2 linked regions of the Caenorhabditis elegans genome follow. The protein of the gene in region 1 interacts with the protein of each later gene in a biochemical or structural test. Each region holds a gene or a part of one and is shown in the gene's direction. Other genes may lie near its edges. The genes, in order: flp-21 and npr-2.

Region 1 (5,838 bases):
ACTATTTATTCCCTTGACTTTCATTTTCATTTTTCATTTTCATGACGTCGTTCAAAAATTTCAAAAATCTCAAAACTATTTTTGAACACATTTTGATAAAAAAATTCAAAATTGTTAACTTCTCAAAATTCTGAAATAAAACGTTACTGAATTGAATTTCTTCTACAAGTTGAGCTGCCTACTACTAGGGAATATATCAATTTTCAACATGATTGCATTGTGCTACTAATATAAGAGCAAGACTTCAACGAAAGCACAAAAATGACAACCTAACAAACTCCGCCTGTTTTGAGCCAACGTTTTTCATAAGCAGGCACCTAGGTTTGAAAGTGTACATAGGTTTAATTCTAAGCTATAAGAATGAGTAACTTTTTTCACCTTTGAAGCGCTTCAAATTACCATCCTTTAGTGTACACCCTAGATCTTCCTCGCCATTCCAAAATTGGCTCAATAAAAGTTGATGGTTCTCAAGTGCAAGTTCATAACTTACAACTCGCGTGCACATGTGTTCTAGTTCATCCAATTTTCATGTCATTGTTCGCTTATTCCATTCTCTTCTATTCTTTAATTGTTTTTTTATGTCCGATGCTTTTTTTGTTTCCGGTTCTGTCCTGCTACAATGACTTTCCCTTTTTACGTTTTGCTCGAAAATACGATTGAATTATTCCATTGTTTAGTGTACGGCAAGAGTTCCTCGTTCACAAGAGTATACTGTAGTTTTTCTAAACTCCAAAAGTTATCCCTTTTCTGCAAACTTCCCCCCACCAGACAACTTCCAAAAATTCGTAATACGTGTAGTTACTAAGTAGTAGTCAAGTGACATTATTATTAAAAATTCGTGTGCGTCTCGTTTCAAAACACGTCGACGGGCGGGCGGGGAGGGTATTCATAAAATTGATGGATGGGCCCATCATGTACAGCCCAAATAAGAAGGGCGGGGCTAAAAGTTCCGCTCCGCAGCAGATACTAAAGGGACGATTCAAGTCGGTCTAGTTGTTCATCGCTTCTTTTTTTTCGGAAAATGATCTATAAAATTGTTATTTCAATGACAAATTTGTTGTCTATAATTATAGTTTTACATATGTTGTTCTAACTTTCCAGTTATCATCACTTGCTACAAGATTTGTTAATTTGATTCTCAGAGCTTATACTTTCACGGTCTACATATCTTCTGCTGCAGAATATTCAATGAAAACTAGGTCCAGTGACCGAAAGTGGAAAAAATTTTTTCAGTCATTCTAATTTTTCTCATACAAAAACTACTACCTTGGGCCTACAGCTAGAGTACACTTTTTCAAAGATTAAATTGAAATGAGGTCTTGACGAATTACAAAAAATACACATGCAGGCGTGTAGGCATAAAATAAGCCTTCCCAAACATCAATAAACGTTCTGAACCTGGTCCAAATTTTTGTCCATTTGTTCTAGGACAACTTTTATTATATTTGCGTAAAATTTCTGCGCTATGCCCAGTGTAGCAAAATTTTGGAAACTCGGTTTTCCAATTTAACATTGTAAGCATTTTTTTAAAACAAATTTCGAATTAAATTTTGGCAAACTACACGAGCTGGCTATTTGTATATTGTTAGATCCGAGGGTGGACGGCAAAGGGCGATTTCGGCAAAAATTTTCCGCTGCCTTACTTTTTTTTAGAAATACCGTAACCTTAAGTTTGGCCTATAACTTTCATGGTAGGCAGGTACGCTTTCATGTCTATGTACCTTTCTCTTGTCCGAATGTCTGTGTTTGCCGCAGTAGAATTTTTTTTTGAAAATCATTTTAGGTTCACAAAAAAACCGGAAATATGTAAACGCAGTCACCTATTTCTTGATAGTTACGTCGTAAGAAATTACTCTCGTAAATTGTACGGAACTTTGATCACTCGTCTGTCTTATTACTGTGGAGTCTATGACATTTCTGTCTGAACGCTGTTTCGTAAATAATAAAATGACAAATTAATAGCTTAAGCTCTGATTTTAAGCCAAAGCCTTCTTATCCTGGAATTTTATTCTAATTTTCAGTCTTCGATATCATTCCTCGAAAAATCACAAATACATATGGTGATGTGAATACTCGTCTGTAATTGTTAGGTGGCCACTTCGTAAAATGCTGATATTTCCAAAACCAAAATATAAGAGATCTTGGAGAAAACGCGTCAAAAACCAGCATTTGACGTGTACCTCTACAAATTCTTTCACCTGCCAAATGTTAAATTTGATCTACTGACCCACTAAAACACTACTTTTTTTGTTACCAATGACAATTTTTATGCGACTTTGACATTTGGACAGGGAAAAGTTTTTCCATTCTTTAGTTTGAAACCGAGTCCAAAAATTACAAAATTTTCAAGTTTTTATGCCTCGCTAAACTCTCTAAAGAAGTTTAACTTTGAAAGTCAATGAGCCAACGAAAATTTGTTTCCTCTTCTTCGATGATGACGAAATGTGCCCCGAAGTAACTCGATAATCGTGGAAATCTCTACTTTTTTCGGCTCATAAAGCTTCTTTATTTCTTTTTTTGGTTTTCATCGAAAACTTATCGTATCAAAAACTACCAACTTTTTTGAATATTTGTAAGACTACATTTTCTCATCACTTTTACCCTCCACCTCATCGTTCATCACATTTATCTTACTCCCACTTGCTCTTCACATCACTTTTGTGGGTATATCAATTGGTTGGTGTTTTTTATGTGTTTGTGAATGTTTTGGGGAAGGCTGTGCAAAAATATCAGAAAAAAGAAGAACCTACATGCATTTTGAGGTGGTCTTCATTGTGACTGTTCCTCATTTGGTTGAGATGTCTGCGAATATTAAAAATCTTAAAGACTTTTTTGACCAAAACAATGTGGTATTAAAGGGGAAAAGAAAGAAGAACGTATGTCAACAGTTTTCCTAGTTCAGTCCTAGATTTTTTTTTCAAATCAACTGTCACATTTTTAAAAGGTTAGATGTGTTGTGGAAATCTCTACTTTTCAATTAAAGTTTAATAACTTTTGGCTGTATCAAATACGTGCATTGAAACTCAACTGTTCTCACCTTAAAGTTTTCTGATGCGTTTACAGTCGGGACCAACTACTTACACTGAAACATGTTTATCTTAATTAAGCGGAGCACACTTCCTTTTATTCAAAAAACCTCATAATGCACAAGACGCTGTTTGCTTTCTTTCAAGACCGTAATTAGACAAAGTCATCGAGCAGTAGATTTTTCAAGTCAGCTATTTTCTTTATTCCAAAAACTGCATATTTGTAATACTCATGAATTTTTCATATTTTATGGTTACTCAAAATCTACACGTCTTTATTACAATCTCTCGTTGAATTATCGCGTAAAATTACATCTTCCAAAATAGGACCATTGTTGTTTTCAAGTCATAGCATATTTTAACGCGATTTCCGGCCACCTCAACTATGCTCTGCAACGAGTATGACGTGCCCAATAAATATTGGGCTATCCTGTTTTCCCACCACATACACCCTCCTCATAGTTCCCAGAAAAAACTTTTACCGGAATCACGTATACATATAACATCATCTTACCTGAAAAAACATTTCGATGTATCATTTGCCTAGGTTCTAGGATGGGTGGTTGCTCTTGGAGCAAAGGTCATTTTTGTGAGTAGTCCAGTAGATTTGGAAGGGGATACACTGAAATATTCATTTCTTGTTTCAAAGCTACCGTAGTGATCACTTCCGTCTTACTATTTATCTCAAAACTTCTTTTTTTCCACCCCATCCCATCATGCTTCGCAAGAATCTCATTAACAAATGCAAATTTACAACGATGACTATGTACACTATTTAAGATTTGATTGTGTATTCAACGTTTGATCTCCCACCCTCTCATTGCTCCAAAATCCAAAAAGTCATTTTCAGACGATGCGGCTGTTCATCTTGCTTTCGTGTCTTCTCGCGTGGGTCCTCGCAGCGCCTTATATCGATCAGGAAGATGCGCTCCGCGTTTGTAAGTTTTGTCAAAGTTAAAGATTTAGATTAATCATTAATCTTTTTCAGTGAACGCATATTTGGAGCAATTCGGACCCGGCAGTGACAGAGTTTACTATGTTGCCGAAGACGATCATGGGTAGGTCCAGTTTAATTATTTTCTGATAGACATCTTTATTAAGTCAAGTCTTACTGTAGAATAAGTTGCAAATCGCTATAATTAATAATTTACCGAAATACGAGCATTCAGCTAGAATAAATTAGTTGCGATTCAGAAAAAAGTAAACTAATTTTAAAATTTCAGATCAATGAAACGTGGTCTCGGTCCTCGTCCTCTCCGATTTGGATAAACGGTTGCTGCTCGAACGAACGAACAACATGACACAACATTTTCTCTCTTTCCTCTCAATGTAACTTTATACAAAAATGATGTTCCAGACACTCCACAATTCCAATTCCGAAGAAATATCTATCCTCTCCTTTTCTCTTTGAAAACGCTGCAGAAACAATGTTCTTTTTACTCTCTCTCTCTTTTTCTATCTCACTTCCTCTTTTTCTGTTGAACAAATAAAAACAGCTTTCAGTTTGACATTTGACTTTTTATTAAGTTTATGAGTGCCCTTATATTTAAGAATTTTCCAATTGTGCAATTGTACCCTGCAACTGTAATGGTAGAATCCGGGAAAATCAGTCAGGATTACATTAATGAAACAGTTGGTGTCTTCCCTGCAGGGGTTGAACAAACATTATGGATACTGTTTCAAGGATCGTAGTTGCCGTAATAAATCCATTGAGGCGTCTATCTCTTGAATTTCTAACATAATGTGCCGACTATATAGTAATAAAGCTCCTGAAATTGAGTTTTGGGTGCCAATTTTGTAGTTTTGTGGAAAGTGTAATGATCGTTGAATTTTGGTTTTTGATGATTTTTAAGAACATTTTCCGAGAAATTTCGTATGGCAATTAATACATGGAAAAAATCAGTCCTAGGGATTTTATTCACAATAAAACCGAGAATTCCCTAGAATTGAAGATAAAGTAGTACTTATACATAGTTTCCTACCAAAGCCGAGCCGATTGCAAAAGTTTCGAAAAAATAAAATATCCAATTCGGTTTATGATTACCGCGAAAACAGAAAATAACATATTTTGAGCAAAAATTCTAGTGTTTTTCAACAATACATTTTAACGTTAAATTCTTAGTTTGGTCAATTCAGCATTCGGGGCCACAAACTCCTGCTTCGATCTCTGCACAAATTTCTGTTATCCCTAAAAAATTATCACATTATTTTCAGCCTTATTCATTTTTAGTTAACTCAATATTCGTAAATTACGTAATAGATATTGTCGTTTTAGGATCTCGTTGTACATTAATCTCATCCAAACAAAGAAAATGAGCTTTAAAAGCTCTAAAAACGAGTAAACAAGGTATTCATCAGACAAATGGTTCAAATCGCAATAAGCTTTTTTCTATTTAAAAAAATATAGGTAAAGACCAAAATACAGGACCTTTCAGATTAATTATATTTTTAAGCTTATTTTCAAAATCTAAAACCAAAAATAAATATTTTAAAAATATTGAAATTGAGTGGGCGTGGGAATCTGGAAAGTTAAATATTTAATTCAAAACACAAACGTCTAGAAATATGAGACGAACTACTTGGACTTTGGCCAATATTCAAGAGTTCTTTGGTGTGATTTTTAAACATTATTTATAGAAGAGATTTGTCTATAAGTGGCTAAATACTGCTATAACAATTTTTCTAAAAATATTTCTGCCCAAAAAATTGTATTTCTACTTCTGTGATAAGTTGCATCATTTTTATAAATTTTCTACAAATTCAATTGTTCAATTTTGTGATTTTTTATGAGTTTTTTTAGAGTCAATTTTCA
Region 2 (7,537 bases), on another chromosome or scaffold:
TTGGTTATACTTAGAACTCGAATAGTAATTTTATTTGATTATACTTTACAATTGTTCATTTAATGAAGATTTGGAATACACAAGAGATGCAATATAATTCCTTTTTTCCTTGTTTTTGGTTGATAAATCTCTAATGGAATTTTTTCTATTGTAATCAACTGTTTTCTATAATTTCTCATTTGTCTAAAATTTCTTGATCTTTTTAAGAGATAGATTTTTTGAAACGATTAACTTTTTATAATGTTTTCAAATTGAAGAGTATTTTCGAATTCTAAATATGAATGTTTATGAAAATATATGCAAAGCTCAAGGTTTTTATTTAAGTTTAATTCCTACATCTTTCCAATACCAGCACAGTTTCTGAACTACAAGTCGAAATTTTTGAATTATAACATCATTTTCCGCAATGACACCATATTTACCAATAATATAATACTCTGAACAGAAATGACATTTCTAATGGCTAGTCAACAATATAATTTGATGAATAAGCTCGAAAGTTCTCGTGGGATGTGTCATAATTCTGAAATTTAAATTTATTTCATATAATTGAGAGAATTTTAATTGTCTGTTACGTACAATGGAGTCTAATACTCAATTCTAATAGTATTTCAAACTCTTACATCACTTCCGTTTTACTTTATGGATGTTTTAAAAACTTTCAATTCAAACACTTTTTTAAAATAATTTTAAATTAAAAGTGTTCACATTACTTTATTCATCAAATTTATTCACAGACAAAGTCCCATGAAACCAAACTTATTTTTTCTTGGAAAGCGCCAGAAATTAAGGTTTTCGCCCACTTTTTCTGCGCTCTATTTTGGAAGTAAAAACTCATCATTTCTAAAAACACATTCTAAAAGTAGAAGAGCACTAATGAATATTCTTCTCTGTACAGATGTTATGTTACTTACAAAATTTCCAGGAAAATTCAAAAAGAATTATTTTTTTTTAACTGACAATAAATGTAAATGGTAAGCGTTTTGTTTGTTTTTTTTTGTTCAAAAATGTAACTTTTGGTTGTTGAAATTTGATGAATGATTATCTGACTCTTTTGTTTTTTTTTTCTGATTAAAATTATCAAAACAAATATTTTCCGACTATCCAAAATAAATAATGAAAATATCAAAGAAATCCCTGATAGTGAATAATACGAGCAAAACATAAAAAAAAACCATCGGAGGTTCAACAGGGTGTTTTTTGCTTGATTTCCCCTTTTTTTGCTTGAAATTACTAAATTACTCGTCCTAATCCTTTTGACGTGTGAATTGCAGTGTAATCTAAGAAAACGTTGCATTTCTTCACTTTAAAATTTTTTTGCATTTTTTGTACGTAATTTTAGCACTTGGATAAAGCCACCTCTTTTTTTAAAGATTTAATGCCTTTCCGCGCCCGAGTTGGCAAGGAGGAGGACGAAAATGAGCAGATCTCGTAGAATACCTAAATCAATATTATAGAAAACTTATGATACTCCCAATATCAAAGCTCAGTTACAATGCTTATTCATAATTTCTTTAAAACAGTATTTAAAGTGTTTCTGAAAATGAGAAGAAACTTCCAATAAATTTGCTACTTTTTTTAAAAAATATTTTTCATATAAAACTTCGAAACAATAACCATTTCATGTTATTCTTTTTTGACGAATATTTTTTTCTCTATTTCACATTCAGTTTGCCATTTTATTTATAATTATACCCTTTAAAGAAATTCAAATTATATGTGGAATCTATCCCAACTTGGAATCATTTCTCATAAATTATAGTCTCTCATTCGCATATCATTTCCATGTATTCCTTATTCTCCAACTCTTTCTTATAAAATCTTCAGATTTTTTCTTTGAATTCTTGATTATGACGTGGAATCGTAAAGTTGATTAGGGTAAATGCCTTGTTCCGTTGTTCAAGAGAATGTTTCATTCTATTCCATGAATTTTTTGCCAGTTGTTATTTTGAACTTGATGCTTACTCTTAATCCAAAATAAAATAGGCAAAAAAGTGTTCATCGAAAAATATAAAGTTTAATGTAGTTTTTTTTTTCAGTTATTTGATTTCTCGTACGATAGTATTTCTGTGAAATCTAATAATCTGTACTGATGTTTTTTGTTCTAAAATAGTATAAACGACTTTTTTGATGACGTTTGTGGGCACACACAGACACAAATTTGCAAGATTTTTTTCCGCCGCTAGTTAAAAAATAAAATCGCAGTGAAAAAGAACAATCTTAATCTCCGAACGTTTTGTGCCTTTCAACTAAATTATTTATGAATTGCTGGCAAAAAGTGCAAAATGTGATGCACGAAGAGGTAGACTGATGTGAATTTTTAGTCGGTTTTTTAAATTTTAAAAGCAAGTGGTTTAGAGAACACTTTTCATTTTGTTTTTCGCTTGAAATCTCTGATCAGAATGACAAATCTGTTCAGAAAAGGCTAGAATAGATAATAGCATGGCAGATAAAATTACAGCTTACTTATTTTTCCGATATTTGAGATTTTTTGAGCTTTTGGAATTTCGTTTCGTTGTAAATAATCATGTTATAGCTCAAAATAAACTGCGATTATGTGAAGGCGAGTATGCTTAAATTAAATTCGTATGAGCATTACTAATGGATTTAGGGAAGAATCGAGTTTCAATGAAAACATAATTTATTTTGTTTTGAATGTCGAAAATGAATTGTCTAATATCAAAAAAAAACATTTTTTTGGTTTTTTGAATATTTTTGAATATTTAAATTTCTACGACAGATTTCCGATATGAGTTATTGAAGTATTCGAAGCCTTCAAAATTTGACATTTTGATTGTTATTTAATGCAAAATTGCATTATTTGCAGCTTTCTCGTTTAGCTTATAGAACATTTGGAAATCTCAAAATTTTTATTTAAGAGGATTCGCTTCAGATTTAACTTCTAATCACTCCTTCCGCCATCAAAATTTCAGTTTTTCACTTAAACGCCTTTATTTTTCTAACGTTTTTTTTCTGTGCCCTTTTTTCAGTTTCTAAACTCCATTTTCTACGTCATTTGATTAAAGCACATTTAATCCAATAAAAAGTAAAATTATTCGTATAACAATAATTGTCATATTATTTGCAGGAGAGCAACGTCAACGCCTCCATTGGAGAGAAAAGTCGACTAGTTTCATTTCACTTCTGTAAATTCATAATGTCGATGGTGAATACACGTGTTGAGGCTCCGGACCTTTTGGTAAGTGATTTAACGTTTTAAAATACTATACAGAACTCAACAAAAAGCATTTATGGTTTTTTCTGATTTTTTCTAGAAAGTACATAATTTTTATGAATTTAAAGGTGAATTTTGTGGAAACATTGGCTTGAACTAGGTTACATTTCGTTCAAAAAAAATTATCAGAGCTTAAATTTCTGTGAATTGCATTTAAGGAGATATTGTTATTGAATCACAGTTCTTATAATGATTTTGAATTTTGAGAAAATCTAAAGATTGAGTCAATATCTGATCAGACTGAACTTTTTCCACGGCTTCATTCTTTTCACACACACTTTTCTGGAAATGTAAGGTTTCAATCTTAGATTTCAGCTGGTTCTGAATATTCATTCACATTATTTTTTTTCGCTTTTCAGTAATTTTTTAAAAACATTTGTTATTTAAAATGCCTGGAATTTATAATCGGTTAGTTTTGCAAAACCAAGAGTTCTATTGTTGTTGGTCAGAAAACTGAACAATGCAAGATTTTATTTTTTACGCGTTGATTTTTGAGCCAGACAAAACAAATTAGTGAACTCGTAGAAATTCCCAAAAAATGAAAGTCGTTTCGATCGTCGTTTTCGAGTCGTTTCGATTTTGGGCAAACACACAAGTGCCAAAAGTTCTGATTCCCGGATATTTTTTGAGGATTTCCATTTTCCAATAATTACAAATAAAACCTTCATATGAATCGAAATTTTACTAAACCGTCAGTTAGTTTTTTTTTAGAAAATACCGGAAACTGTAATATTTGTGAGACTTTGAGCTTGACATACGAATATTTTTAAAACAAAAGATACAAGTTTGTTCAGCAATTCATGTTCTTTGAAAGTGTCCTGCAACGCCCATATTTTTATTAATTAGCTTTTAAGATTTTTTAAAGTTTTCAATAAAATTGATCCTTTTAGTTTTATTTTATTTGAAAAAAAAAGATTAAAACGAAAGTACTTGCTATCACATGAAAATTTGAAGATAAACTGAACGAATTCCGTTTCTATTTTTTAAAATCTAAACTTGAATTAATTTTTATAGATACTGTAGGACTTCAAACTCGTTGTTTGAAGCCATTGAAATTTGAATATCGCAACGATAAACAACTCTCAAAGATTAAACTTCCTCATTAAGGAATATTCTAAATTATTTTTTCACAAGCTTATTAGATAAATTCGAATTGTAATTTTCTGCAATTTGAAATTAGTCAATAGGTTCAAGTCATCGTGTACTCGTAATTTTCTGCAATACCTACTTTTAAACGCAGAAGTTTATTCGGGACTCCATTTTTTAAATCTTTATTTGCTTAAAAATGGTCATAATTTTGATTTCTCCCAAAATAACTTTAAAGCCACAAGTTATCTTTATTGTTGGTGCTGAAAACGTTTTTCTGAATACTTTTAGTGTATGTGCATATTTTAAGAAAATAATTTCTATAAGTAAACTAAATTATTTACTTTTGAAATCATAGGTTCAATCTCTTATACGCACTCCAAGAATATATTATTATCCATTATCTAAATGAGTCACTAAAGAAACACGACAACTTTTATGTTTTCTTGCCTTGATCCTAAAAGAAACCTTTTTTACGTCTTCATTTTCTTCGTAGCAATATACGTGTCAAACCAGTCATCCTCGCCATTTTCCACTGAATTATTCAAATTCTCATGATGCGACAACGGAGAAGAAGAAGAACTTAACATGAAGTTGTCGGCGAGAAAATGAAGAATTCTGTCGCCTCGGCATTTTCCTGTTTTACATTATGAACTTTGTGCTTCCTTTGTTTCTATAAAGGAACTGACGCGTTCTCAAATATTCTAATTCTTTTGCTTTAAGAATTTCAGAAATGTTTTTAAATTGCTGAAATGTTGTTAAAAACACAGACAGAGTTTACAAAGCCGGTCATTTCCCACGTTGAGCTTGAATTTCATTTTGATATTCTAGAGCTGAACGAGAAGAAAAGCTCCCAACTGTACTAAGTCAACCGTACATTCCACGTACGATTTCTGTGAGGCAAGATCTGCGATCAAAAGATCCGCAATGAATATAGCTACGTAATTCCAAATAAATGTCAAAAGTGGAATGTTTCCTTTGAAGGGAGTGGTTAGAAGATCACTTTTCAGTGCTGAAATTACCGAATATCATAGAAAATTTTTGAAATAAATGTTTAATTATTTCAATTATTTACAGTCAAAAAGTGGTGATTACTCAATTTTCGCAACTCATAATTTTGAAAGCTGACCCGAAAAAACTCTTCCCTTTTAAATATTCGAATTATGTTAAAAAACATTTAGTAATTAAAGATAGGGAGCTCAAACACGAGAGATTGTTCTAAAAACCGAAGTTTTTGGAAATTTTGCAAGTTATCAAAACGTTGACTGGAATGTTTAAAATTTTAAAACTTGTTCGTAATACTAATTTTGCTAAGTTTGCATTATTAGTAATGAATCTACTTCATCTTGAAACACTTTTTTAAATTTTGCCTTTAATCACAAATTTTTGAAAGTCAGTCTATCACAAAAAATTTTATATGCTTTCAAAGAAAAATTCACCTGTTCAACTCCCACGACAACTTTTATTTTGATTATCTTTTCAGCTTTTCAGAGATTAAATATTTTTCATAATTTCCTTGGTGTGATATGACCTTTTCGGATATTCAAATCCATAGAACACAAATCGGTGGAAATTTTTTGAAAATTGAGACCTCATCTTTCTCTTCCCGAACATGCACAAACATGACCCAAAAGGAAATGAAATTTGTGCCGGAAATTGCTCAGAAAATTGAATTTTGAGCTCAATTTACAGCAAAAAAATTTCAACAAGAAAACTAGTAAAAAAAGTTCCTTCAGTTGCTTCCATCTCCCGTTAAGATATGATCTTTGAGGAGGTTTTTTCATGAGATGGAAAAATGAAATATTTATTCTTTTTCTCGCAAATGGAAGCAGTTTTAAGAAAAATAAAAGTAAGAACTTACGTCAATGAGCTATAACAACTCAAAGTTTAACTCGTGATATCACTTTTTAAAATTTATTGTTGAACTCCACAGTTCCCCACGAAACATTTTCCATAATTACTGACTCGCATCGCAAACCATTTTTTTCAAAGCGAGAGTTCCTGAAAATGGTTCTTGTAACAAAAGCTCAAGATTTTGGATTTAATTCTTCGAAAAAACCCAATTTTGCCACTGATCATATCATTTTTTATTCCCTACCTTGAGGACAATATTCAGTTTCAAAAGCTCTCGAAAGGTCAATTTAATATTTGAAAGATTTTTAATTTTCCTTTATATCAGCAAATTCTTACTGAAATCCACGTATTCTTGAGAATATTAATCCTGTTCCAACAATTCGCTCCTCCCACCTTCATCTTGTCATAATTTCAGACATCATCGTCTCATTTATGATCATTCACCGAAAAAAATAATTTTTTAAAAGAAAAACACCTCTTAATTCAGAGCCATTTTTTCACTGGAAGCCCTTGTCATTTTCAGATTTGTTCCTTATTTTTCTTATTTTCAGGCGTTGAAAAACATGCTGCGACAATCAGATGGTACTCGAATGCTACAAGAAATGAGAAGAAAGTTGATTCAACTGCACTCTTCGCAGGTTAGCCTTTTTGTTAGCACAAAAATTTTAGATATTGAAGTCTGAAAAATTTCTAAAATAAAAGTGTTCTACTTTTACAGGAATTTCGGTCCCATGACACAACAAAAGAGCATTTTTTCTTTTAGTTTCATATTTGAAGGAAACGCAAAGACTGAAAAAAGAAGCCAATGAGTTATTTAGTTCAATTTTATTTCCAATTAAAAGATTTAGATTTCAAAGTTAAGATTAGGAAAATGCATTCGTTTTGTAAGAGAAATTTCTAGCAAAATCGTTTTGCATGACGTTGGAATTTCGAATGATAAAATTTGAATTTTCTTCTTTATCAATCTTTAACACTACAATTAAAATTTTCGGAGAAATTAAATATGAATACCTGAAACTGCAGTTTCCTTCATTTTCCTTTAAAAAACAATTATTTCGGGTACAACTGAAAATGATTTCTTCAGAGAATATAAAACTGTGAAACATTTTTTTGTTGGTTTTTCTTAAAGTTTTTCTTATTCACTGATAATAATTTAACTAATATTTCCCACCTCTAAAGCTTCCTGTGTTTCCTGTCTTCTCGCCACACATTTCCAAGAATCCATGCACTTTTTATCCCGTTTCGCTCAATTTCCGTAAATTTCAGCAACCTTAATATCTTGTTTTTCCTTCCTTCCCTCTTTGCTCGGGCTTTCTTATTTTCTGTTCATTGCTAACATCAGACCTGCCACTTTTCACACCT

Evidence for each region.
Region 2: the proteins of flp-21 (region 1) and npr-2 interact in a test that uses a peptide from one of them, tested with the Caenorhabditis elegans proteins (one large-scale study listed by BioGRID).

What each region holds. Positions count from the first base shown.
Region 1 is NC_003283.11:7,789,491-7,795,328, forward strand, and holds flp-21 (GLGPRPLRF-amide), read left to right. Parts: upstream 1-3,876; 5' UTR 3,877-3,879; coding exon 3,880-3,964; intron 3,965-4,014; coding exon 4,015-4,084; intron 4,085-4,249; coding exon 4,250-4,295; 3' UTR 4,296-4,535; downstream 4,536-5,838. UniProt on the Caenorhabditis elegans protein: FMRFamide-like neuropeptide. Involved in modulating locomotion quiescence during the sleep-like state called lethargus which occurs during molting between larval and adult stages, acting via the G-protein coupled receptor npr-1.
Region 2 is NC_003282.8:9,575,673-9,583,209, reverse strand, and holds the start of npr-2 (G-protein coupled receptors family 1 profile domain-containing protein), read left to right. Parts: upstream 1-3,088; 5' UTR 3,089-3,157; coding exon 3,158-3,199; intron 3,200-6,726; coding exon 6,727-6,813; intron 6,814-7,537.